Canis lupus familiaris: one gene and its partners. The protein of the gene in region 1 interacts with the protein of each later gene in a biochemical or structural test. Links are inferred from orthologs where the notes say so. Each region holds a gene or a part of one and is shown in the gene's direction. Other genes may lie near its edges. The genes, in order: ERBB3, RASA1, BCAR3, GRB7, HCK, SHC3 and TNS2.

The links.
Region 2: the proteins of ERBB3 (region 1) and RASA1 form a complex in vitro, tested with the Homo sapiens proteins (2 studies listed by BioGRID and IntAct, with this or other methods). The link is inferred for Canis lupus familiaris from reciprocal best matches to the Homo sapiens genes ERBB3 and RASA1.
Region 3: the proteins of ERBB3 (region 1) and BCAR3 form a complex in vitro, tested with the Homo sapiens proteins (2 studies listed by BioGRID and IntAct, with this or other methods). The link is inferred for Canis lupus familiaris from reciprocal best matches to the Homo sapiens genes ERBB3 and BCAR3.
Region 4: the proteins of ERBB3 (region 1) and GRB7 form a complex in vitro, tested with the Homo sapiens proteins (2 studies listed by BioGRID and IntAct, with this or other methods). The link is inferred for Canis lupus familiaris from reciprocal best matches to the Homo sapiens genes ERBB3 and GRB7.
Region 5: the proteins of ERBB3 (region 1) and HCK form a complex in vitro, tested with the Homo sapiens proteins (2 studies listed by BioGRID and IntAct, with this or other methods). The link is inferred for Canis lupus familiaris from reciprocal best matches to the Homo sapiens genes ERBB3 and HCK.
Region 6: the proteins of ERBB3 (region 1) and SHC3 form a complex in vitro, tested with the Homo sapiens proteins (2 studies listed by BioGRID and IntAct, with this or other methods). The link is inferred for Canis lupus familiaris from reciprocal best matches to the Homo sapiens genes ERBB3 and SHC3.
Region 7: the proteins of ERBB3 (region 1) and TNS2 form a complex in vitro, tested with the Homo sapiens proteins (2 studies listed by BioGRID and IntAct, with this or other methods). The link is inferred for Canis lupus familiaris from reciprocal best matches to the Homo sapiens genes ERBB3 and TNS2.

Annotation. Positions count from the first base shown.
Region 1 is NC_049231.1:771,852-775,351, forward strand, and holds part of ERBB3 (receptor tyrosine-protein kinase erbB-3), read left to right. Parts: coding exon 1-164; intron 165-292; coding exon 293-448; intron 449-693; coding exon 694-769; intron 770-955; coding exon 956-1,102; intron 1,103-1,408; coding exon 1,409-1,506; intron 1,507-1,598; coding exon 1,599-1,787; intron 1,788-1,940; coding exon 1,941-2,012; intron 2,013-2,219; coding exon 2,220-2,514; intron 2,515-2,684; coding exon 2,685-3,211; 3' UTR 3,212-3,500. UniProt on the Homo sapiens protein: Tyrosine-protein kinase that plays an essential role as cell surface receptor for neuregulins.
Region 2 is NC_049224.1:21,209,550-21,213,049, reverse strand, and holds part of RASA1 (ras GTPase-activating protein 1), read left to right. Parts: intron 1-646; coding exon 647-762; intron 763-1,439; coding exon 1,440-1,526; intron 1,527-3,500. UniProt on the Homo sapiens protein: Inhibitory regulator of the Ras-cyclic AMP pathway. Stimulates the GTPase of normal but not oncogenic Ras p21; this stimulation may be further increased in the presence of NCK1.
Region 3 is NC_049227.1:55,859,888-55,864,099, forward strand, and holds the start of BCAR3 (breast cancer anti-estrogen resistance protein 3), read left to right. Parts: upstream 1-1,412; 5' UTR 1,413-1,493; intron 1,494-4,212. UniProt on the Homo sapiens protein: Acts as an adapter protein downstream of several growth factor receptors to promote cell proliferation, migration, and redistribution of actin fibers.
Region 4 is NC_049230.1:22,698,345-22,701,377, reverse strand, and holds part of GRB7 (growth factor receptor-bound protein 7), read left to right. Parts: intron 1-1,166; 5' UTR 1,167-1,171; coding exon 1,172-1,323; intron 1,324-1,428; coding exon 1,429-1,582; intron 1,583-1,768; coding exon 1,769-1,925; intron 1,926-2,052; coding exon 2,053-2,174; intron 2,175-2,263; coding exon 2,264-2,341; intron 2,342-2,647; coding exon 2,648-2,785; intron 2,786-3,033. UniProt on the Homo sapiens protein: Adapter protein that interacts with the cytoplasmic domain of numerous receptor kinases and modulates down-stream signaling. Promotes activation of down-stream protein kinases, including STAT3, AKT1, MAPK1 and/or MAPK3. Promotes activation of HRAS.
Region 5 is NC_049245.1:21,973,118-21,977,178, forward strand, and holds the start of HCK (tyrosine-protein kinase HCK), read left to right. Parts: upstream 1-1,261; 5' UTR 1,262-1,547; intron 1,548-4,061. UniProt on the Homo sapiens protein: Non-receptor tyrosine-protein kinase found in hematopoietic cells that transmits signals from cell surface receptors and plays an important role in the regulation of innate immune responses, including neutrophil, monocyte, macrophage and mast cell functions, phagocytosis, cell survival and proliferation, cell adhesion and migration.
Region 6 is NC_049222.1:97,790,375-97,793,874, forward strand, and holds part of SHC3 (SHC-transforming protein 3), read left to right. Parts: intron 1-2,886; coding exon 2,887-3,042; intron 3,043-3,500. UniProt on the Homo sapiens protein: Signaling adapter that couples activated growth factor receptors to signaling pathway in neurons. Involved in the signal transduction pathways of neurotrophin-activated Trk receptors in cortical neurons.
Region 7 is NC_049248.1:44,543,468-44,546,967, forward strand, and holds part of TNS2 (tensin-2), read left to right. Parts: intron 1-198; coding exon 199-321; intron 322-420; coding exon 421-485; intron 486-963; exon of another isoform or gene 964-1,066; intron 1,067-1,343; coding exon 1,344-1,427; intron 1,428-1,859; coding exon 1,860-1,972; intron 1,973-2,064; coding exon 2,065-2,125; intron 2,126-2,363; coding exon 2,364-2,439; intron 2,440-2,672; coding exon 2,673-2,802; intron 2,803-2,892; coding exon 2,893-2,958; intron 2,959-3,054; coding exon 3,055-3,168; intron 3,169-3,279; coding exon 3,280-3,500. UniProt on the Homo sapiens protein: Tyrosine-protein phosphatase which regulates cell motility, proliferation and muscle-response to insulin. Phosphatase activity is mediated by binding to phosphatidylinositol-3,4,5-triphosphate (PtdIns(3,4,5)P3) via the SH2 domain.

The DNA of each region.
Region 1 (3,500 bases):
TAGACCATGCCCACATTGTACGGCTGCTGGGACTGTGCCCAGGGTCATCTCTGCAGCTCGTCACTCAGTACTTGCCTCTGGGTTCCCTGCTGGATCATGTGAGACAACACCGTGGAGCACTGGGGCCCCAGCTGCTGCTCAATTGGGGAGTACAGATTGCCAAGGTGAGAGGAACCTGGCTGGTGGCTGGCAGGGAGGTTGAAGTTCTGAGAGGTGCCCTTAGGGTTTGGGAGGATTCTGGATCTCAAGGATCAGTTCCACCCAACTTTGAGAATACGTCCTTCCTCTGTAGGGGATGTACTACCTTGAGGAGCATGGTATGGTGCATAGGAACCTGGCGGCCCGAAATGTGCTACTGAAGTCACCAAGTCAGGTCCAGGTGGCAGATTTTGGGGTGGCTGACCTGCTGCCCCCCGATGATAAGCAACTACTACACAGTGAGGCCAAGGTGAGGTGACACAAAGGGCTGGGTAAGGAGGTGGGGGTGGAGTGAAGCATGGGAGTAGAGAGTAGTCAGTGGTCTCCTTCAGAGGCAAATGGATGCTGCACAGTACATTTGAGGAGAGGAACCTGGAGATGGAAATTCAAGTTCAGAAAGCAACAAAGAAAGGAATGAGAGAGAACTTGGGGCAGAGAAGTGGTGAGAAAATTTGTGGAAGTCAACTGATGACACTTTTGCCTTTAAATCCCCAGACTCCAATTAAGTGGATGGCCCTGGAGAGTATCCACTTTGGAAAATACACACATCAGAGTGACGTCTGGAGTTATGGTCAGTCCCTTTGGATACCCTCCATACTGTCACTGGTCCAAATTCCATAGTTGCCTTTTGAGAGACCCCCTTTTCAGAATTTCTGAGCCCTTCAGATCCTTGTGTGAGATCAAGTTCTGCTTTCCCTTCATCTTCATGCCCATGTCTATTATTTTGCCATCAACTAGTCATATCTTCCTCTACCAGGAGTGACAGTTTGGGAGCTGATGACCTTTGGGGCAGAGCCCTATGCTGGGCTACGATTGGCCGAAGTACCAGATCTGCTAGAGAAGGGGGAGCGATTGGCACAGCCCCAGATCTGTACCATTGATGTCTACATGGTCATGGTCAAGTGTGAGTTACTTGCTGATCCCAGCCATTTTCTCTTTCTTTCTCTTTATTTCTTTCTTTAAATAATTAATTTATTTGAGAGAAAGATCGAGAGAGCAGGGAGAGGGGCAGAGGGAGAGGAAGAGAGTCCTAAGCAGACTCTGCACTATGCAAGGAGCCTGATTCAGGACTCAATCTCATGACCTGAGCCAAAACCAAGAGTCAGATGCTTAACTGCACCACCTGGGTGCCCCCCAGCCATTTTCTAACTGCTTTCCCTCCCTACTCTACTCCCCTCTTATGGCTCTGCTTCCTACATCTTGCCACCAGGCTGGATGATTGATGAGAACATCCGTCCAACCTTTAAAGAACTAGCCAATGAGTTCACCAGGATGGCCCGAGACCCCCCACGGTATCTGGTCATAAAGGTGAGTAGTGGTTAGGAGTTGTCAAGGAGATCTAGAGGAAGGGGGACTTGGCTGGAACTAGGATCCATCTTAACAATCACCTGCCCCTACAGAGAGAGAGTGGGCCTGGAATTCCCCCCGGGGCAGAGCCCCCTGCTCTGACAAACAAGGAACTGGAGGAGGTGGAGCTGGAGCCAGAACTGGAGCTAGATCTGGACTTGGAGACGGAGGAGGATGGCCTGGCGGCCACACTAAACTCTGCCCTCGGTTTGCCAGTTGGAACACTTAATCGGCCCCGTGGGGTAAGGCATTTCCCAGTTTTAAGACTCTGCACCCTGAGCCCTCTATCTACCTAGACCCTCATGAACCCCACTGATGCCCAGATTAACTACTTAAAAGCCCCCAGGGTGAGTAGATTTCTCCCTTAATCTAAACCTTCACTTTTTTCATCCTAGAGCCAGAGCCTCTTAAGCCCATCATCTGGATATATGCCTATGAACCAGGGTAACCTTGGGGACACCTGCCAGGTAAGGTCTGTCTCTTTAAGGGGCTGCTGAGAAGCTGGGTGGCAGTTTCTTAGAATCCATAGGGGCCATGTGGGAGGCTTTAGAAATCCTTGAGGTTTAACCAGTGCCCCACAAAAAAGAAGGCATCGAACAACCCAGTCTCTTAAAGGAATACCAATTTTTCCTTCGTCTCTGTATAAATTTCCATGTATTACTTTCCTCCTTTAGGAGTCTGCCATTTGTGGGACTGGTGAGCGGTGCCCCCGTCCAGCCTCTTTGCACCCAATGCCACGGGGACGCCTGGCATCAGAGTCCTCAGAGGGCCATGTGACAGGGTCCGAGGCTGAGCTCCAGGAGAAGGCATCAATGTGTAGAAGCCGGAGCCGGAGCCCACGGCCACGAGGAGACAGTGCCTACCATTCCCAGCGCCACAGCCTGCTCACTCCTGTCACCCCACTCTCCCCACCAGGGTTGGAGGAAGAGGATGTCAATGGATATGTCATGCCAGATGCACACCTCAAAGGTGACTGACTCTTCCTAGAAATCTTTCTCTGATCCCTGCCCCCAGGCTCCTCGTCATCCTTTTGTCTTCTCTGATCTAATCCCTCCCTTTGCATAATTTCCTCTTTCCCCCAGTTCCCACCAGCTACTACCATGTTCTCCACATACCTACCCTCTCTTCTCAACCCTTAGGTACTCCCTCCTCCCGGGAAGGCACCCTTTCTTCAGTGGGCATCAGTTCTGTCCTGGGTACTGAAGAAGAGGAGGAAGATGAGGAGTATGAATATATGAACCGGAGGAGAAGACACAGTCCACCTCGTCACCCTAGGCCCAGTTCTCTCGAGGAGCTGGGTTATGAGTACATGGATGTGGGATCAGACCTCAGCGCTTCCCTGGGCAGCACACAGAGTTGCCCACTCAACCCTGTGCCCCTCATGCCCGCTGCTGGCACAACCCCAGATGAGGACTATGAATATATGAATCGGCGACATGCTGGAGGAGCTCCTGGGGGAGACTATGCAGCCATGGGGGCCTGCCCAGCCGCTGAGCAAGGGTATGAAGAGATGAGAGCTTTCCAGGGGCCTGGAAACCATGCTCCGCATGTCCACTGTGCCCGCCTCAAACCTCTACGTAGTTTAGAAGCCACTGACTCCGCTTTCGATAATCCTGATTACTGGCATAGCAGGCTTTTCCCCAAGGCTGATGCTCAGAGAACATAACCCCTGCTCCCTGAAGTACTCAGGGAGCATTTCATGGCAGCTAGTGCCTCTAGAGGGTACCCCTCATCTCCCTAGTCCCTTCCTCACAGGTCTCAGTCCTATTTCCCCAGCCCTAGACAATTCCATTCAACCTTTGGAGGCTTTTAAACACTTTGACACAAAATTCTTGATATGTAGCCAGCTGTGCACTTTCTTCTCTTTCCCAATCCCAGGAAAGGAGATTTTCCCTATTTTGTGTGCTTTCCTAAACCCATTCGTCAGCTTCCTCAGGGGGACTCCCTGGAGATAT
Region 2 (3,500 bases), on another chromosome or scaffold:
TGAAGTAAGTCTGCAGAGAGTCTCTGGCTGAGTCCTTAGATTCAGGCTAGGGAATTCAGACTTACGTAGATGAATCTACTCCACTGATTCTAGATCAGAAGTCTTAGATTTTCAAGGGCTACTGGAAAAATTTTGAGAAAGGTTCATTATTCTGTCTACAGCATTCAGAAAAGCCTTTCTATTTTAATATGAGGGTTGTTTCAAATATAATTAAAGATTTTATAATACATGGTGATCATTATTCTCAAATACTCAGTATATTTATGTGTATGTGATCACTAAAGCTGGATTTCTGTCTTGTAGTTGAGAATATTGTTTTAAAAATAAAGTCTAATCTAATTTCTGTGGCTATTAAAAATCTGTGGTAAATGAATAAGAGAACTTTATCACTGTTATGAATCCCAGAGCAACTAAAATGTTCTGAGTAATCACTGCTTATTGTACAGTTGAGTAATTGGGAATCAGTGGTAAATGAGTTCCATAGAGCAAACTACTTAAGAATTCCCATTTATACCCACCCCCCCCAAGAGCTAAAACAGATTGAAAAATGGAAAAACAGAGAACCTTGAAGAACTACTGTTTACCTTGATTCATTTGCATTTATCATTGCCAAGATGCATTTATATTAATTTATTCCTTCTCTTAGTTAAGTCCATCAAAGTTAGAAAAAAATGAAGACGTGAACACTAATTTAGCACACCTATTGAACATACTTTCAGAGCTTGTGGAGAAAATATTCATGGCTTCAGAAATACTTCCACCGTAAGTGGTGAAATTTTAATTTGACAAACGGTACTGCATTTTGAAAAATCTGTATTTCTAAAACATGTAAACTTTTGAACTATCTTAATGTTTTTTACTCTGGAAGTTTTTTTTTTTTTTTTGTCTTTACAAGGTAAACTGTGTTTAAGGCAAAAGAGTGACTTGAAGAAACCATGGTGGTGAAATATTTACATTAAAACAAAATTGTGTTTTCATACAGGCTAACATGTCTGGTTTATATAGTAACTTGGGTCATGAATAGAGACTTATAATCTCAGATTTGAGATCATAGATATCTTAGTTAAACGGACACCAGTTTGTACCTGCTTAATAGCTTTTAGTGTAAGTGAATTCACTTATTTAGGTAGAAGTTATCCTATATCACTGGAATCTGAACTTATTTCCGGTACTTTTCCCCGCATTAATACAGAGGCACTGTAAGAATGTTAAGATTTCTTCCAAAGTAAATGTAAAGAATTGACTAAATGATGATGAAAACTATTTGTTTTCCTTATCCCTTGCTGAGTGTGTCCTTCCTTCCTTGTAACAGAGTACTTTTTTGGGGGGAAAGGCCAGTTGCATTCATATGTGTATTTACTAAATTAAGCTTCTGGCAGCAATGAGATCAGCATTTTTCCCTTGGTTTGTGTATTGAGATGATTGTGTTGTTTTGGCAGGACACTGAGATATATTTATGGGTGTTTACAGAAATCTGTCCAGCACAAGTGGCCTACAAATACCACCATGAGAACGAGAGTTGTTAGGTAAGGCTCATCAATTTACTTGTTATATATCATTGTGTATAGTATGCAGAGTGGCTGAAAATTTGGAGTAACAGTATACAACTCAAGACTTTTTTATTTTACTTTTATCTCAGAACCCTGTTGAATATTGGCTGAGTTCGGACAGCTACTAAGTTTTAACTTTATTTTTGGGGGGACGTTACCAAGAGATATTTAGCTACTTTGTGCATTTCTGAAAACCTCAACGCTTACGTATAATCAATTCACTATTGGGAATTTTTATCCTGTGGACAGAAAGGTTAAAAGTTACATAACCAGCAAACTCTTTAGCTAACTTTATATAGTAGTAATCGTATACACATCACATTACCTACACGCATGTACATACATCTAGAGAGGAAGAAGAGGGAAGGGAAGAGTGGGAGGAGTGAAACAGAGCTTGATGTGGTGCTACCAAGGAAGAGCAATAACGGAACCACTGCGGTGCTGACTGATGGGTTTGTAGCAGTGGTTCTGTGCTAAGCTCCAAGCCAGAACCTCCAGTTCCAGTGAGCTTGCCACACAGTAATTAGGAGGAATTGCTTTGGGCAAGTCACAGGATGTTGTACCTCCTGTACGGCAGCGGGACACACTTTGATATCACTATTTTAACTTTTTCTGATGAGGAAGCAGATCTGTAGAAGTTAAAATTGTTTGCTTAACTTTATATAGAAAGGGGTCGTACTAAGGCAGAACTAAAGGCCAGCCTTCTAAGATCCAGTCAGATCTCTGACACCATTGTAGGCTTTTGATAGGTACACCCGGCCCACTGAAGACCACTGGAAATCAGTGTCAAAGCATCAGAGAATATAGGGGTCTACTAATAATAGATTCAGTAGAATACATCCTGCTGTCATGTTATATCCCATTAAAAAAAAACAAAAAAACAAAAACTAGACAACCACTGAAGACACCAATAGCATACATTTAGTTTTGAAAAAAAAAGTGTTAATCCTGCCCTCAACCAAAGTTTTGTAAAGAGGCTTCTACTTTCGTAGAGAATATTTCTCTTGGTTAGTAATGATATGACATAAGAACGAATGACAGATTCTCTATTTTTTCACTAGTGGCATAAGTTTCAGCACAGTTTTGTGTGTGATGTAAATTAAAGCCTCTGTAAACTGTTTCAAACAAATATAATTGTTAAGCAAACACAGCAGGAATTTCTGCTGTGTGAATCGTCTGACACGATAGGGTTTTTAAGGGGTATTGATGCCCAAGGTGATGATTTCTGTCCCTACTAACAAGCCTTTAAATATATATGTATGTATCTAGTATTCCTTTTAAATTTAAAATCACCTTTACAAATTCACAGAAAATAGATTTGTATACTGAAATTCTTTCATGATTAAATTATAGGTTATGGTTCAAATTCAAACAAGTATCAAAATGTTTTCAAGCAAATTTGTGCAAGATTCTTCATAAATTAGTTTAAAAAAATATTTAAAGAGCTGATAATTGTGTATTATAATTGCAATAAATGGTATCTGAGAAGTAACAATCATTTTCTAAGAGTCCAAAAAGTAGTAAGCTGTCATTAGGTTGGAAAGTAAATGTCATAAAGTTGACTTATCCTCTCTGTAATGGAGAAGGTGAAAAGTGAGGTCTTTTTAATAAAAGCTTTATATTTATAGCATTCTATTGTATACATTTCCATTTATCAAGAAGTCACTTTTCTCTACTAGAATGGATTCTTATTTTTAGGATTCACCAGCAAAATCAGTTATAATCAACTTGATTTATACAGATTTTATTTGGCTATTCTATTTAAATAAGGAAAGAAAGAAGTGAGAGAATGAGAGTTTTAGCACCATATAGGCCTGTCTCTATAAAAAGGATTAATTCATACTCCTATAGTATTTCAGAAAATCTTAGTGTTCCTAAAGCTACTGCTTCCTCAGAGTAAGTATACTGGAATAAATAAGGAGTTGTCAAGACAGTAAATGTTACAGATGT
Region 3 (4,212 bases), on another chromosome or scaffold:
TAAAAGGCCGTGCCAGCGTCAGGGCTCCTGGATAGGCTGAGGCCTCTGTGACAACCACCTCTCAGTTTCTCTCTCCCCCTGTCCAATCCCTACCTCTCTTATAACCCTGCAGGCATCATTTCTGAGAGAATTCTCCAATAAACTACCTGTATGCAAATCTCTGCTTTTGAAGCTGTTTTTTGGGGAAGTTGACCTATAACAGATCTATACCATTGGTTATATAGGGCTGCTAATGCAAATTACCATAAACTGAGTGGCTTAAAACAGTAGAAATTTATTCTCTCTCATTTCTGGAGGCCAGAAGTTCACAATCTAGGTGTCAGCAGGGCCACACTCCCTACAGAGGCTCTTGGGGAGAATCTTTTCTTTTGTTTCTGGTGGCTGCCTGACTCCAGTCTCTACCTCCTGTCTTCACATGCCTATCTACCCATGTCTATTTAGCTCTTTTCTCCTCTTCTAAGGACTTAGCATTGGTTTCAGGGCCCACACTAATCCAGGATAGGCACCTCTTGAGATCCATAACTTAATTACATCTACAAAGACCCTTTTTCCAAATAATGATAGTATCTAAAGGTTCTGGGTGGGCACAACTTTTGGGAGACCACACTCAAACCACTACACACACTCAAATATTAAAAATGTTATACCCTAGGATGGGAACTTATCTATAGATTATTTAAATTTTCTTCTTTGTACTTTTTTATTTCAAATTTTGTACAGTGAATGTGTATTACTTTTGCAAGAGTAATTGTTTCTTAAGTTGGTAGTTTGACCTAGAGTGTACAGTCTGAATTAAAATGTATCTGCTCTCTGAATAGAGGGTAAGAGTTGGTGGACCACAGATATGCTGAAATACTGTCCCATTATAAAACTCTTAGACTCTGAATTCTTTTTTTTTTTAAGATTTATTTATTTGAGGGAGAGAGAGAGCACATGAGCAAGGGGGAAGAGCAGAGGGAGAAAATCTCTAGCTGCCTCCCCACTGAGCCAATGCAAGGCTTGATCTCACATCCCTTAAGATCATAACTTGAGTCAAAATCATGAGTCAGGGGCACCTGGGTGGCTCAGATGGTTGAACATCTGCCTTTGGCTCAGGTTGTGGTCTCCGGGTCCTGGGATCGAGCCCCACATGGGGCTCCCAGCTCAGCGGGGAGTCTGCTTCTCCTTCTCTCTCTGCCTCCTGGCCCCACTCGTGTGCTCTCTCTCTCTCTCTCAAATGAATAAATAAAAATCTTAAAAAAAAAAATTGTGAGTCGGATGCCTGGCCGACCATGCCACTCAGGTGCCCCTAGATCCTGAATTCTTAAATGAAGTATAATTTTGAAGACATTGCTAGGCTTACAGGAAGTATGGTGACTAAGTTCTCTTCCAACCTTTTCTCCCCAGAATATGGAAGATGAATCCAAAATTGCATCCAGGAGTAAAAGTCGACCTGTGAATAAGTGTCAATATGGGAGCCAGTCTGGGCATGGGAGCCTTGGTCCAGTAGCAAGGTAAGATGGCCACATTGAACCCAAGAAACTCTTAAGGGGCTTAAATGGTCCCAGATTAATAGCATCACTCTGAATCTAGACAGAAACAAATACAAATTATCTACTTGCCTCATCCCCCAAAATAAATTCTTAACAGATTGAAGAATTAAATGTAAAAGCAAAACTTTAAAACTTTTAGAAAAAATACTGGAGAATCTATTTATGAGTTCTGGGGGGGGGAAAGCATCCTTAAATAAGACATAGTACTAATCCTAAAAGAAAAGATTAATGAATGAAACTACATTAAAATTATTATACCATAGGGACACATGGATGGCTCAGTGGTTGAGAGTCTGCCTTTGGCTCCAGGGGTGATCCTGGGGTTCTAGGATTGAGTCCCACATCAGGCTCCCCAGAGGGAGTCTGCTTCTCCCTCTGTCTGTGTCTCTGCCTCTTTCTCTCTCTGTGTCTCATGAATAAATAAATAAAATCTTTAAAAAAATAAAATTATTACACCATAAAGAAAATTAAAAGACAAACTCCAAACTGGGAGAAATGCATATAATCACAAAGGATTGGTTTCCAGAATATATAAAGGATTCCTATAAGTCTAAAAGAAAAAGACAAACAATCCAAGGGGTTAAATGAGCAAGAGACAAAACAGGCATTTCACACACAGAGAAAAAAAAAAAAAAAACCCACACAAATGTTTGGTAAACACATGGGAAGATTCTCAGCTTCATCAACAAAGGAAATACAGGGCAGGCCGGGCCATTTTAAGAGCATCACAGGCCCAACTTATGCTTATTTTTGGAGGCTTCATCTAATATTTCACATACCATAATGCAACCATATCCCACATTCAGCCCATTTACTCAATATGTATTTTTTGAGTACCTACCAGGTGCCAGGAAATGTTCTGTGCACTTGGAACATATTGGTGAACAATATTCACCAATATTGGTGAACAAGTGTGGTTAAAGTCTCTACGCTCATGGAGCTTACATCAGGTGGGACGTAGATAGCAAGCATGAACAGGTAGCTATATGTTGTAGTGTTGCTAGGAGGCAATGAGTGTCATGGGATAGAGAGGAAGAGTCATGTGGGGGGAGAAGAGGGTGGTAGGATAGAAAGCTGGGGGCTGGTATTTAAACAAGGTAGGTCTCATAGTGTCTCCCTTGCTCGTCAGTTCCCTTGAGCCCTTCAGGATGTTGCTTTCTGGGGTATTGGCTAATAGCAGCTTGGAGGGCTTGCTCCTCTCAGAGATATTTGCAGGTGGGATGTGGGGAGACATTCTTGAGAACACCTCCAGCCCCAGCAGGAGGTACCCTCCAGTACAGAAGGCAGGTCAGGGGTAGAAGAGACACTCCAGTGGAGTATGTGAGGCAGAGGGGACCTTCTATCTCTTTTCTGCCATCCTCTCCTACAGCTCATCCCAGAATAGGGGCCACCTCTCAAAAAATCCATTAGGAAAAACTTTTCAGAGGAGAGTGTCCATCCTCTGCCACTGGAGCTGGGGGGCAGGAGGGGCTTTGGGGTTGCTCATACTGGATAACCAATTATGTAGATGCAGCCTCACCATGCCAGCAGGAAGCATGAAATGTGATGGCTTGATGCTCCTTCTTGGACAAGGAAGAATTGAAGGCAGCTCTCTGAATTCTGCAGGCTCTGCTTACAGGTACAAGTTGGATGGGGGTCTATCTCCTGGGAGTTTCTAAATAATCCAACAAACAAGGTCTCCCGCAGGTATATTGGCCTGTAGTTAGTGTTGGCCAAGTGGAAGCAGCCTAGAAGGTGCTATTGGCCAGTAATGGACACAGACCTCAGAAGACCACTTACGATGAGACCGTTGGGATGACAATTCTTTCCTGTAGGCCCCCAGCCATCAGCAGCTGGCATCTTAACTCAAGGGGCCCCCTACTCTCCTTTCTAGGGCTTCTCTTATGTCTCACTTTGCCTGATATCCCCAAGCACTGTCCGAGCCCCAATGGGATCAATCTCTCGCCCTTGTTAATCATTTTATTGCCACCCAATTGGTTTGCCCAAAGCCCCTTTTGCCCTGGACAGAGAGCCGGCCCTTTTTTCTAGGTCTGCAGGGACAGAGGCCCTGCCGTGAAGTCCCTAGAGGGAGGTAGCCAAGTGGCTTCTTTTTCACACTGGAATGCAACTTCCCTTTCCAATTAGAGACCACACAGGATGAAAAATGTGAGCAAGGCAGCCTTTCCAGCATGAAAACCCACCAGCCTTTACCAGGAAGAGCAATCGGGGGGCCTGCCTTCCAGTCCCACCTGTTTAAAACTCCCAGCCTCCTTCACTGGCTATCATGTAGGCCTCATTTTCCTTTACCTACCCCCAGTCCAAAATTGAGATTCTATCTCTGGGACAGGTTGTTTCTCTGGGCATGTCCAGTCCCCACAGTCCACCTCCCAAGGCTTGTTTTCTTTTGGCTTGTGTGGCAGAGAAAGATGTCTCAGGCTTTTGAGACAAAAATAAAATTCAAACAAACTAAAACCAAGCAGGAAATCCACATCCTTTGTTAAAGATAGGCGCTCCTCCCTGGGACCCTGGGCAGGAGGTTAACGAAAGGCCCGCGAAGGCCTGAAAGGAACAAAGGTCTCAGCTACAACAGTGGAGCCATATGCATTCCTGATCCCAGGGCAGGGACCAGGGGCCACCCCACACATCACTTCCTGGCCATGCCGAGGGCCCGGGCCCAGTGGCCTTCCCCTACGGGAATGGA
Region 4 (3,033 bases), on another chromosome or scaffold:
CTAAGCCAGGAAGTCGTGCAGATGAGTCAAGGTTGAATAGAGAGCCCCAGGCAGTGCTGTCCCGCCCCACCCTGACTCACCTGTCCCCCAGATCCCCTCACTTAAGGGTCAGGGGCCTGCTCCATTGCCAGGTGCTGCAGGCTGCCTCAAGGCACTGGCCTAGGTCTCAGGTTCTCCCAGGTCCTCCCAGGTTCTAGCCCTGCCAGAGGGGTCTGTGCTGCCTCTGTCCCCAGTGGGCATCTTTGCCTCTGCTCTCCTGTCCTCACTTGCCCTCCTCTGCAGCACCTGTGGGTGCTAGGACGTGGGTGAGACTCTGGCCCTGCCCGGGAGTGCTGGGTGGCTCCAGACCAGTGGGTGGACAAAACAGGTGCGCTTCATTGGCACAGAGGCCAGTGCAGAGAGGGAGCCCTTCAGTCTGAAGGCGGAAAATCCAGGAAGGCTGCTCAGAGGAGGTGACTTTGGCATTGGGGCTTCAGGAAAGTTGGGCAGGAGGAGGAGTCTGGAGAGGGCACGCAAGGTTTAGGGGCTGCTGGGGCAAGGGTCCCCAGGCTAGTCCTGTCTGAGTCTGCCTCCTGCCCTCCTGGTTCCTGTCCTTTTCCACCTCCTTCTCCCCTTCTGGCCATCACTCAGCACTTGGGCAGGCGTTGCCACAACAGGCTCTGGCAACTAGATCTGGCAACAAAGCACTGGAAAAACCCGGGGCAAAGCCCAGAGGAGTGAGTGTCCCATGCTCGGGGCAAGCTCAGAGACAGAGTCAGCCTCGACCGTATGTGGGTCATGGAGTCTGTTGCTGCTGCCCAGCTGGTGTGTGCGGGGGTACCCTCTTAGCTCTTCCCCTGAGCAATGTGGGGCCAACAGAAGAGCATTAGATTTGGAGTCAAAACAACAAAGTTCCATCAAAGTTCCACTCATTGACTCACCTGTGATGGGGGCAAGGATGCTTCCTTCTTAGGGACTTGATGTCCCCTTCTTGTAAATGGGCTCATGCTACCCTTCCCCAAAGGTTCCAGGGAAACTCCAGTTAGAGGGGGAGCAGTAAGGTGCCGTGTCAACTCGGAGGGGTACCTTTACAGCGGTGTGAAGTCTGGAGGTCTGGGTCCACTTGGCCCTTCTCTGCAGGACAAGGGCACACGAGCAGCTGCTTTCAGTCACCTCTTCTCCCTTAGATGTTATGGAGCTGGGTCTGTCTCCACCTCATCTCAGCAGCTCCCCAGAAGACCTGTACTTGGCTCCTGGGACCCCTCCTGGGACTCCCCCACCTCCCGATGCTCCTCTGCCTGGGGAAGTGAAGAGGTCCCAGCCTCTGCCCATTCCGACCAGCAGGTACAATGCGGTGATGGAGCTGAGAAGGGGCTGGTGGGGGGGGGGGGGCAGTCAGTGTTGGGTAAGTCAACAAATTCTCTCCCCATCCCCCACCTCGGGCCACAGGAATCTTCTTCGAGAGGAAGAGCTACGGTCAACCTCTCTGCCTTCCATCCCCAACCCCTTCCCTGAGCTCTGCAGTCCTCCTTCACAGACCCCCATTCTTGGGGGGTCCTCTGGTGCAAGGGGGCTGCTCCCTCGAGATGCCAGCTGCCCCCATGTGAGTTGTCTTGGGAGAGAGAAGGCAGGGATATGGGGGTGCTATGGGACTGAGGCGGGTAGGGTGCCCCCTCCCTGGAGGGGGGAGGGAAATTCAGTCAGGAGTCCCTGAGGATATAGCAGGCAGGGGAAGGGAAATAACCCCCCTTCACCCTTCCTCAAGTCACCTGCAATTCCTGGGGTGCAGGTAGTAAAGGTGTACAGTGAAGATGGGGCCTGCCGGTCTGTGGAGGTGGCGGCAGGTGCTACAGCCCGCTACGTGTGTGAAATGCTGGTGCAGAGAGCTCATGCCCTGAGTGATGAAAACTGGGGGCTGGTGGAGTGCCACCCCCATCTAGCACTAGGTGAGTTGGGGTGCCAGGGGCTGTCTCGGGCAGGGAGGCAATGCTTCACACTTTGGGCTAGGCAGGTAGCCCCCCTGGGAGGCCTGTCTGGTGTCCGCTGACCACTGCTTTCGGCCCTTGACTCCAGAGCGGGGCTTGGAGGACCATGAGTCCGTGGTGGAAGTGCAGGCTGCCTGGCCCATTGGGGGAGACAGCCGCTTTGTCTTCCGGAAGAACTTCGCTAAGTACGAACTGTTCAAGAGCTCTCCGGTGAGTGTGTGTGAAGGGCGTCTGGGCACTGGGACACCCGGGCCCCCAGCCTGGGCCCATCGTCCCTGATTCCTGACTCTTCCCCCCAGCACTCCCTGTTCCCAGAAAAGATGGTCTCCAGCTGTGTGGACGCACACACAGGCCTATCCCACGAAGACCTTATCCAGGTAAAGGGACACCCCCATTCCATGGCATATTCATGATTCCCCAGGATCGCCTATTGCTTTTTTGGTCCTCAAGCATTGTGCCTCCCTCTATGTGGTGGGGAGCCTCGCACAGTCCCAGGTGACTGGACAAGTCCCTCCTTCCTGGCTGAGTGTCAGTTTCTTGGTCTGTGAAATGGAACAATAAATGCATGTGGAGCACCTTCTCTTCTGAAGCTGTGTGTGTGTGTGTGTGTGTGTGTGTGTGTGTGTGTCTCCCTTGTCTCCCTCTTGGCCTCTCACCCTCTTCCTGCTCTCTTCTGGCCTCAGAACTTCCTGAATGCAGGCAGCTTCCCAGAGATCCAGGGCTTCCTGCAGCTTCGAGGGTCAGGACGGAAGCTTTGGAAACGCTTCTTCTGCTTCCTGCGCCGGTCTGGCCTCTATTACTCCACCAAGGGCACCTCCAAGGTGAGGTCTTGAGGGTTGACAGCCTCTGCCCCTAGGATATCCCCTTCCCGGTCCTTCTAGGAGTTATCTGTTGTCTCTTCCCTGTTGGAACTCCTGGATCTTTCTCCCCTTGGGACCTGAGACCCTCAGCTGCTCCTCTTTCCCTCCTGACTCACCTACCCCAGGAAGGTAGTGGGAAAGGCAGGTGGAACTGAATCTGAGTCCTGGCTCTACTTCTATTTGCTGTGTGACCTGGGGCACTTATCTGC
Region 5 (4,061 bases), on another chromosome or scaffold:
AGTTGAGAAACCCTGTGTAGCCCAGCACTCAGCACAGTATTGCTGAATGAATGAATGAATGAATGAGTGAATGAAGAGATGACGGTGGCCTGAAATGGCTGGTAACAGAGGGAATACAGAAAAGCTGTAAAATTCTTACACATCTTGTGTGCTTGGCAGACTTTAGTGCGACAAAGCTCTTTTTCCAGAAGCAGTTGTGCTCTGCCCTTGCCTGGTGCTGGGCACATCTCATTCATGTGGGGCCTCCAGGTGCCCTCCAGCTGGGCATCCTGCCTCCTCAGTTTTCAAAGTCCTCTGAGCTTCCCAGCTGCCGGAAACCGCCAAGAATGAGCCAGGGTGGTGCCTGCGGGTGAGAAACTTTGCTTGCCGTTTGAATAGCGCGGGGCCTGTGGAGCGGAAACCGCTGACCACAGAAGGACCAGGAAGGCCTGGGACACGGTGTGGGGGAGGGGCCTGGGCTCCAAGAGTGGATTGGAGTGTAGAGAAAACCGATCAGAATGCTTGGGGCGGGGGATTAGAATCCTGCGAGAGTGCCGAGGTAAAGGTTTAGGATCCTTGTGGGTCACGTTAGAATCCTTTGATGAGGGGTTAAAGTCCTTGAGGGTAGGGTTGGAATTTTTGGATGGATCGGATTGGAATCCGAGGGGGGATTAAAATCCTTTGGAAACAAGATTGGGATTATTCGGGAGCAGGATTAGAATCCCTGGGGTTAGGGTTATGAATTTGGAGGGCTGGGTCAGAATCCTTTGAAGAGAAGGGATAAAATCCTTCCGTTGGCCGGATTAGAATCCTTGGGGGACAGGATTAGAAATCTCCTGTGGGTGAGGCTAAAAAATCCTTCAAATGTGAAATTCAAAATCATTTGGGGGCAAAACGAGGATCTTGGCAGGAGACGGTGTTGCGGTTCTTGGGAGGACGAGTTTAATCCCTTTGGCGACCACATTAAGGTTTGGGGAGGCGGGGATTATAATGCATTAGGTTAAGTGCTTGGAAGAGGGCGTGGGGTTAGGATCTTTGGGGGACGGATTAAAATTCTTAGGGGCAGGTTTATTATCCTTCCGGGCCAGGGTTAGGATCCTTAGGGGCAGGGTTGGAAGCCTCTGATGGGCGGCGTTTAAAAAAAAAAAAAAAAATCCTTGAGCGGTGGGATTAGGGTGCTGGGAGGAAGGGCCTGGGATGAGAGTCCACGCTGTGGGGTCAGAGTCTTCAGGGGCGGGGTTAGGATACACGGGGGTGGGGTTAGCATCGCTCAGGGCGCGGCTAAGGAGCCCAGATGGCCTGTGGGTGCCACCGAGTCCCCGGTCCCAGCCCGAGCGCACCGCTGAGGCCGAGGCGAGCAGGAGGGGGCGCCGGGGGTTCAGCGCCAGGGGAGCCCGAGAAGCCGCGCGGCGCCCAAGCCCCTCAGAGGCCGCCCTTTGCCTTTTCTCCAAAGTCAGCCCGTCTCCCTTCGGGTGCGGGCGCCCCGGGAGTCCGGGGGCTGCTGAGCTGGGGGGGCGTTCGAGCTGCGAAGATCCGGGCTGCCCGCAGGAGGAGGAGCGGGCGCCCAGGTGAGTGGCGCGCGGACGGCGGAAGCGGGAGGGTCTCCGCGGCGGGGGACGGTGGGGGGAGCCCAGCGGGGGGGCAGGGCCGGCTGGAGGGCGGCAGGAAGGGGCGGTCCGGGAGCGGTGGACGCGCGGAGGGACCGGGGGCCCGCGACGAGGGCCGGGCTGGCCGGGCTGCGTGCGAGCCTGGAGGAGCCCTAGGGGAGAGGAGCCCCGGCCCCCGACGGACTTGGGTCCAGCCTCCGCTCCTCTGAGCCGTCCAGGTTCCCCTTCTGCAAAAGAAAAAAACGAGAAGGAAGGGATGAGGCTCTACCGACCGAGAAGGGAAGGCCCTTACGGCCCCTGGTGGGGGTGGGTGACGGGTCACGGCAGGTTGGCGGCGGGTTGGCAGCCCGTGGTGGGGAGGGGGACAGCTGGCCGGAGGCGTGCGGTGCGAACCACACCCAGGCGGGCCTGCAGCTGGGCCCACTCTGCGCTCCCTCCTCCTCCCGCGCTGGGCCCTGATCCCCAGCAGGTCTGGGTCAAACCTCAAAACCTCCTGGACAGACCACAGGGTGTCTCCCCGCCTCCTTTCCGCTTCGGTGAGACCTTGGGCCGAGTCGTGCTCCCTTTCCGAATTCCAGTTTTCTCCTCCGTCAGATAGGGCTAGATTCTTTCTCCAAGGCTACAGTGAGCTGGAGTCTGTGGGGGTCATGCAAGGGGAAGTGGGATTCTGGGAGCAACCTGCCTGTTGACCTTTAGCAAGGGATTTGGTCTTCCTAGGCCTCTGCTTTTCCACCTATAGGATAGGGATATTAATAATAATGACTCCCTCCCAGGGTCGTTTTGAAGGTTAGGTTAAGTTATTCATGGAAAGCTCTTGGAGCGTTAGGTCACAGGTATAGGTGCTTAGTACTCGTGAACTATTGTCGCTATTACCGTCTAGCCAGTGCTTCCCAAATGTTAGCAGTACACCTGGGAGGCTTGTTAAAACACAGATTTCTGGGCCCTGACCCCAGAGTTTCTGATTCAGTAGGTCTGGCTGGGGAATCTGAGAATTTACATTCCCAGGTGATGCTGCTGTTGCTGGTCCAGGGACCACACTTTGAGAACCATTGCTGTAGCCTTTGGCCAGCACAGAGAAAGACTTCAATAGATATTGGTTCCTTTATCCCATGGATTTCTCTTCACTATCCTTTTTTTTTTTTGGGGGGGGGGGGAGGATATTAAAATAAAGAAAAGTGAAAGAAATAATATAGTAAATATCCCATGAACCCACCACCCAGAATTAAATGTTTCCCTCTGGCTTTTTAAAAAATAAAAGTCTTAAAAGTAACAGATAATACTGAAGCCTCTCCACTTGTCTCTCTCAGTCCTGTTTTTCTCTCTGCCCAGAGGCAACCAGTCATGAAATATAGTCCTTTCCAGTCTGTGCCTTTATGAATTTATTACATAGATATGGATGCATAAATAATACATAGAATTGTTTTTCTGTGTTTTAAAGATCTCCAAAAACGCTATCCAGCTGTGAGATTCTTCTGCAATATCGTTTTTCTATTCCTTGCCTTATCATTAAGTTGTCAAGGTCTAGCCAGGATGAGAAACAAAGGCATGCATAGTTCATTCTTTCTCAGGGCAGTATTTCTGCAAGTGACCATCCTATCTTATTTCTCATCCCCCAGTTGTTGGACATTCAGATGTGTAGCAAGGCTTTTACTACAATAAACTATTCTGCTGGGACCATCCTGGATGTATGGCCCTGGTGAAGGTGGGAGGGTGCAGGTGTTTCTTGGGAAAACACTGAGGGCTGGATGGGTCTCCAGAGGGGGCATCTGTGAACCTCTCTTGTGTGCAAGGAGGACTGAGACCTGAAAGGGTCACCCAGGTAGTCTGGATCAGAGACGACAGAGAGTCTGGCTCTGCTGACCTCCCAGGCCTCCTGTTCCAGGTCTGTTTTCCACTGCAGGAGAGCAAAGATCTTCATTTGCCTGACACTTGGTAAAAACTCAAACAATGGAAGAATGACTCCTTTTTAAAGTTTTTTGGGGCAGCCCAGGGTGGCTCAGTGGTTTAGCGCTGCCTTCAGCCCGGGCCGTGATCCTGGAGACCTGGGATCGGGTCCCATGTCAGGCTCCCTGCATGGAGCCTGCTTCTCCCTCTGCCTGTGTCTCTGCCTCTCTCTCTCTCTCTCTCTCTCTGTGTGTGTGTCTCATGAATAAATAAATAAAATCTTTTTAAAAAAGTTTTTTGGATAACAGATATTTTAGTTTACTTTTGTGTAGTCTTCTTTTCTGTGTGCTTTTTATTTAACGTAATCAGTAAACTGCTGTGGTATACAATTTTCATCCTACTTCTTTGCTTAGCCCTATATTATAAACATTTATCTATGTCATTAAAATCTCCTAGGATTTTTTTAATTGTCAATTTATTTTTTAAGTTTATTTATGTATTTAAGTAATCTTTACACCCAACGTGGGGCTCGAACTCATGACCCTGAGATCAAGAGCTGCATGATCCTCCAACTGAGCCAGCCAGGTGCCC
Region 6 (3,500 bases), on another chromosome or scaffold:
CTTTAATTCACTTTTTAAATGTCTTATTGATTGATTGATTGATTGATTGATTGATTTTAAAATTCAGTTTGCCAACATGTAACAGCCAGTACTCATGACATTATGTGCCCTCCATAGTGCCCGTCACCCAGTTACCCATCCCACCATGCACCTTCCCTCCAGCAATCCTCAGTTTGTTCTGTAGAGTTAAGTCTCTCATGGTTTGTCTCCCTCTCTAATTTTTCCCCACTCAGTTTCCCTCCTTTCCATTATAATCCTTTTCAGTATTTCTTATATTCCCCATATAAGTGAGACCATATGATGAATGTCCTTCTTCTATTGACTTACTACTCTCAGCATAATACCCTTCAGTTCCATCCACATCAATGTAAATGGTACATATTCATCCTTTCTGATGACTGAGTGATAGTCCATTGTGTATATAGACCACGTCTGCTTTATCCATTCATCTGTCAATGGACATCTTGGCTCCTTCCACAGTTTGGCTGTTTGCAAATGCATCAATGTGATAGATCACATTAATAAAAGAAAAGATAAGAACCATATCATCCTCTCAATTGATGCAGAGAAAGCACTTGACAAAATACAGCATCCTTTCCTGATCAAAACTCTTCAAAGTGTAGGGATGGAGAGAACATACCTCGACATCATAAAAGCCATCTACAAAAAGCCCACAGCAAATATCATTCTCAATGGGGAAAAACTGAGAGCCTTTCCCCTAAGATCAGGAACACGACAGGGACGTCCACTCTCACCACTGCTATTCAACATAGTACTAGAAGTCCTAGCCTCAGCAATCAGACAATTAAAAGAAATAAAAGGCATTCAAATTAGCAAAGAAGTCAAACTCTCCCTCTTCACAGATGACATGATATATGGTATATGGAAAAACCCAAAGACTCCACCCTAAGATTGCTAGAACTCACGTGGCAAATCAGCAACTCATACAGCAAATTTGTGGCAGGATACAAAAATCAATGCACAGAAGTCAGTTGCATTTCTTTTCTTTAGAAAAAAAAAAGATTTTTATTTATTTACTCAAACACACACACACACACACACACACACACACAGAAGCAGAGACACAGGCAGAGGGAGAAGCAGGTTCCCTGTGGGGAGCCCCATGCAGGACTCCATCTCAGGACCCCGGGATCACGACCTGAGCTAGGTGCTCCATCAGTTGCATTTCTAATTTTAAATGTGTTGCTCCCTCAAACATCTTCTTGCTCTTTCAATAACTCAGAGACCTGGTGACTATACAGCGTCTGATGGAGAAGGAGCGACAAGTGAATTAAGACCTAATGTCCGACGTACGTGTCCATGTATATACATATAACCATCTCTTGGTTTGATGTTGAGACTTTCCCCTTCCTGACGGCTGTTTGTGCCGGGGAGTAAATGACAGTACGGTTTTATTTTATTTATTTATTTATTTATGTATGTATGTATGTATTTATTTATTTATTTATTGACAGTACAGTTTTAGAACTTCCCCCTGGTGAGACCGTCTCAGGTGTTGCCTACCCAGCTGCAGGGGGACCTGGATGTGCTGGGCTGTCACAGGGTTGGGCCTGGCCAGGGCCACCACGTGGCTCCATCTAAAATAGGACAGACTCAGCTAACCTGAGTCATCACTTTGCTGGAGGCACGTTTTTCCTATGTTTCCATCTTTGTTCTACAAACACTTAAAATGTATTTATATAACAGATGTGTACCTAACCACATAATACTGCGAAGGCCTAACAGACACATTATTTACATTAGATATTGACTTTTTTGGAAAAATGTCAGGTTCACTTAAAAATGAGGTCTTTTGTTGTATGTTCCAGCCACCCTGGCCGGATCAAGACCAGACAACATAAAGACTCGCCAGGGCAGACACGTGCCTGAAACTTGGGGCTCCTATGCCTCAACAAGCTTCTGCTTCTCATTTGAAAGCAATAAATATCTTCTTCTGTTGAATAAGAATGTCCTTTGTTAACTTGCTGGCAGCCATCATCCCTAACTGAAAACTAACTCCCGGCACCCTCATGGCCTGTGTGTCCCCTGCCCTAGCTCCGCACCTGCCCTGGTCTGAGAGGGAAAGGGCCATCGTCAGGAAAGCTGTTCACTGGGATTTTCATCTTCTCCTTTTAAAAAATTAGTCTGTAGAATCCTTCCTACAGGCTGATTTGTTTGCAGCACCTACACACACGAGCTGCAAATGGCCACGGCTGAGCCAGGACAGGTAACTCAGGACACGTGAAGTGGTGTCCAGGAGTAGGAGTGGAGACCGTTCTTGACTTTGCTGGTCTCACTCCCCACTAAGGACTTTTCCCGGGACACCTGCGTTCTCATGCATGTTTTGCTGCCAAAAGCCCCACTATGGGTTCTGGGGAGCCTAGAAAGCCCTCTTGCCCACAGGACTGGGCTGCCCATAGGGTGTGAAAGGCACTTCTCTCCAGAGATGGCCCTGCAGAAGGGTATATCTGTGTGTCAGGTACAGGGCTCCCATTGTGCCCTGAACAGGTGTGATCACCCAATACCCTCACCCCTCGGGTGACAATGGCAGGGCCCTCGCTCCTGGGCTGGCCTTGGCTTGCTCTTGGCCCAGCTGAGAGGTCCCCTTGAGGCACTGCCTGGGGGTAGGGGTCCTCGATCACACGCCCACCTGGGCCTCCTGCACAGAGCTGGGGGCATGAAGGCTGGGAGACTGTCCTGGACAGCGCAGAGCAGTGGTGACAGGGTCCGAAGAGGAGCATGTAGGTGATGGGGACCCGCGGGAGGCGTTACCTGATGGATGGCCCATAGGAACGTCTCTGTGAGGTGCGGGGCAGCTCACCTATGGTGCCCAAATGACCAGAGTTTCCATTGTAAGAGGAAAGAGGGTTCGTCTTCTTGTTGCAGGGTCCTTGGACATCTACAGCACGCCGGAAGCGAGAGTGCCTGCGGCCCCCGGAGAAGCCCCCACCTACGTGAACGCCCAGCACATCCCCGTGCAAGCCACGCCGGCCTCGGGCAGCAGCACCGAGAGCAGCCCGCTGAAGGACCTCTTCGACATGAGTGGGTTGCCATTCCTCTGAGCTCTCTGCACTGCTTTCGGCTTGACATCTGTGCAGTTAGCACGCTTTCTGCTAGCGGGGTTTTGGTGAACAGGGATGCCTTTGTGCACTTTTCTGGGTTGTGATTGGGCTTTCCAAGGCTCTGAGCTTGGCTGCCCTCTGCTTTGGGATGGCACCCCCTCTCAGGTCTAGAAGCAGAGCCATTTCTCCTCTCTCTGGAATGACTGTCCTCCTGGAGATCTGCACATGTGTCAGGACAAATGATAATACACACAAAACAACACTGGTTTGTGTATTCACTTAAATCTTAGTGGGCTGATAGGTGCCCAATACTGGATCAGTTGCTAAGGCTGCCACGGTGAAAGGCATGCTTCACAGAGCCCTCAAGTCTGTTGAGCAAGACAACACCTGAGCAAGAAAGGGCGATACACCCTCTGGCGGGCACACACGTGCTCACTC
Region 7 (3,500 bases), on another chromosome or scaffold:
TGCTCCCCGAGACACTCCAAAGCATGGCGCAGCAGGTACCAACCCATGTGCCAGCGAGCAAGTGTGAGGCTCTCCTGGAGGACCAAGAGCCCCTTGACCCTGGCCCCGACTGACCCTACACCCGCTCCCTCTTCCAGCCCCACCCGTCTCTCTCCGGTCGCGGCCCCCACCCTCAGTTGTACCCCCACACCCGCCCAGGTCCAGGACTTCGGCTGGCCCGAGCTGCACGCGCCCCCCCTGGACAAGCTGTGTTCCATCTGCAAAGCCATGGAGACGTGGCTCAGTGCTGACCCACAGCACGTGGTCGTACTGTACTGCAAGGTGGGCTGGGACCTCGGGTTCACGGGGCTGGGGTGCCCTGAGCCTGGGGCGCCGGCTGGCCCTCCATTCCCCTCTCTCTCTCTCTCCCCCTGTCCTCAGGGGAGCAAGGGCAAGCTCGGCGTCATCGTCTCCGCCTACATGCACTACAGCAAGATCTCTGCAGGGTGAGGCTCCCTGGCCCCTGACCGGCCCCTTCCCCAGTGACCCTGTCTCCAGCTGCCGGTGATGGGCCCATCCCCCTTGAAGCCCCCCTTTGTGTTTGGAGAGCCGTTTCCTATAAACTTGGCCTTTCCACCTCCTTTTTTCACTTGTATCTCACCACAGTTCCCAGCAGAGGATTTGTATCAGGTTCCCAGAGCTGCTGTAACAAAATGTCACAGACTGACTCAGTGGCTTAAGACAACAGGAACTAGTTGTCTCCCTGGAGACTAGGAGTCTAAAACCGAGAGGCCGGCAGGGCCGCGCTCCCGCTGAGACCCCGAGCAGGACCCTTCCTTGCCCCTGTCTAGCTTCTGGTGGTGACCAGCAGTGCTTGGCGCTCCTCGGCTTGCCGCTGCGTCCCTCCAGCCTCCGCCGCGGTCATCACGTGGCTTTCTTCCTGTGTGTGTGTCTGTGTCTGTCTGTCTCTTCTCTTCTTCTAAGGGCACCCATCATAGTGGATTAAGGGCTCATCCCTACTCCAGTATAACATCTTAATTAATTCCATCTGCAACGACCCTATTTCCAAATAAGGTCACGTTCTGAGGTACATATCTTTTGGGGAGACACAGTTCAACCCATAACATGGTCTCATCACCCCCGTTTTACAGAGGAGGAAACTAAAAACTCAGGGAACACTTGCCTGAGGTCCAGCGAGTAGTCAAGTGACTGTATGTGGGGCTTCTAGTTCTTTCCACCTCCACCCCGGGGCTTCCTCTAGAGTTAGGGGATCACACATCTCCTCCCTCCCCTGGGGCTTGGGGTTGGGAGGCCTGGACAGATACCAGCCCCTAATCCCCCACACTTGGCCCTGCGGTCCCCAGGGCAGACCAGGCGCTGGCCACGCTTACCATGAGGAAGTTCTGCGAGGACAAGGTGGCCGCGGAGCTGCAGCCCTCCCAGCGCCGGTGAGCAGCCGGGGTGGGGCTGGGCCACCGGAGCAGCGCGGGCCCCGAGGCCGAGGGTCGCTCGTAGGAGCAGCACACCCGCGGGACACAGGGCCTGCGCTGAGAACTCAGGCCCAACACGGTCCCTGCTCTCACGGAGCTTGTGGGAAAGACAGACTTGCAGGACAGTCGGAGCCCACCTCGTCATGGGAAGCAGAGGGCTGGGGGGAAGAGCAGGCTAGGCGGGGGAGCCAGCAACTACAGACCTTTGAGACGGCAGAGGGTTGAGGTTAGATGTGAGGAAGAACTTTCCAGTGAGCCGGGAGACGGGAGGGGCGTGCTGAGAAGGGCCGGCCTTCCAAGGCTGGGCAGGGGTGTGCTTAGTAGAGATGAAACAGAGGGACCTCCAGGGGCGAGGCTTACGTCCCCCCCTCCTGCCCCCGACCCCCGCAGGTACATCAGCTACTTCAGCGGCCTGCTGTCCGGCTCCATCAGAATGAACAGCAGCCCCCTCTTCCTGCACTACGTGCTCGTGCCCGTGCTGCCAGCCTTTGAGCCCGGCACCGGTGAGTGTGCCCCGAGGCGCCCCGCGGGGAGGCCTGTCCTCCAGCCCCTCCGCTGAGCGCCCCTCCGCGCCCTCTCCCGCCTGCCCCTCCAGGCTTCCAGCCCTTCCTCAAGATCTACCAGTCCATGCAGCTGGTCTACACCTCGGGAATCTAGTGAGTGCTCTGCTCCCGGCCTTCCTGCCCTTCCAGCCTCCCCAGGCGCCCCCGCCTCCAGCTCCGGCCACTGCACCTGGTGCACCAGGAGGGAGAGGCTGATGCTGAGCAAGCTGGAGGCGTCTCACTGGGGCTCAGACCCCAGGCTCGCGGCTCCCTCCTGACGCCCCACACCCCCGCCGCCACCCCAGCCCCACTGCCTCCCATTCAGCCTCTGTCCCGTCCCTCTCCTCCTCAGTCACATCGCCGGCCCCGGGCCGCAGCAGCTCTGCATCAGCCTGGAGCCGGCCCTCCTCCTCAAGGGCGATGTCATGGTGAGGGGGCCATCCTGGGGAGGGGGTGCATGGGGGGGCGAACGCGCCAGCTGCACGGTCTCCCGTGAGTCATCCAGAGGCCCACTGGCCGGCGGAGAGCCCGTCCCCAGCGAGGGCATCGCCTTGAGCTGAGGCAGGGCAGAGCCGCAGCCTGACAGTCCCCAGGACGGAAGCACAGAGGGGACGCCAGCGGACAGGAAGGCCTGACCCCCGGTCTCCCTTCCCTCATCCAGGTGACCTGCTATCACAAGGGTGGCCGGGGGACAGACCGGACCCTTGTGTTTCGAGTCCAGTTCCACACGTGCACCATCCACGGACCACGGCTCACTTTCCCCAAGGACCAGCTGGACGAGGCCTGGGCTGGTGAGTGGGAGACAGGTGTGGGGCTGGAGCCCGGGGAGGGGGCGGCCAGGGGACCTGGCTCCTCACCGTGTCCCCCGCCTCCCCTCCCAGATGAGAGGTTCCCATTCCAAGCCTCCGTGGAGTTCGTCTTCTCCTCCAGCCCTGAAAAGGTCAAAGGTGAGAGCCAGCCCCGGTCGGGCCTACAAGTCGGGGCTGCAGGTCGGGGCTGCAGGTGACACCCCGGCCCTCAACACCTGGGTGGCCCTTCCGCAGGCAGCACCCCACGGAATGACCCTTCGGTCTCCGTTGACTACAACACCGCAGAGCCCGCCGTGCGCTGGGACTCCTACGAGCACTTCAATCAGCACCACGAGGACAGCGTGGACGGTGCGGGGCCGGCCCGGCCGCCCACTCCCTCCCTCCCCGCCGCAGACGCCCCTGAGCTGGAGCCTCCGGCAGGCCCCGACATTCACTCCCTCCCTGGTCCTCTCCCGCCAGGCTCCCCCACCCACACCCGGGGACCTCTGGATGGCAGTCCCTACGCCCAGGTGCAGCGGGCCCCCCGCCAGACCCCGCCGGCACCCTCCCCGGAGCCACCTCCGCCCCCCATGCTCTCCGTCAGCAGCGACTCCGGCCACTCGTCCACGCTGACCGCCGAGCCGGCCGCCGAGTCCCCTGGCCGGCCTCCCCCGACGGCCGCCGAGCGCCAGGAGCTGGAC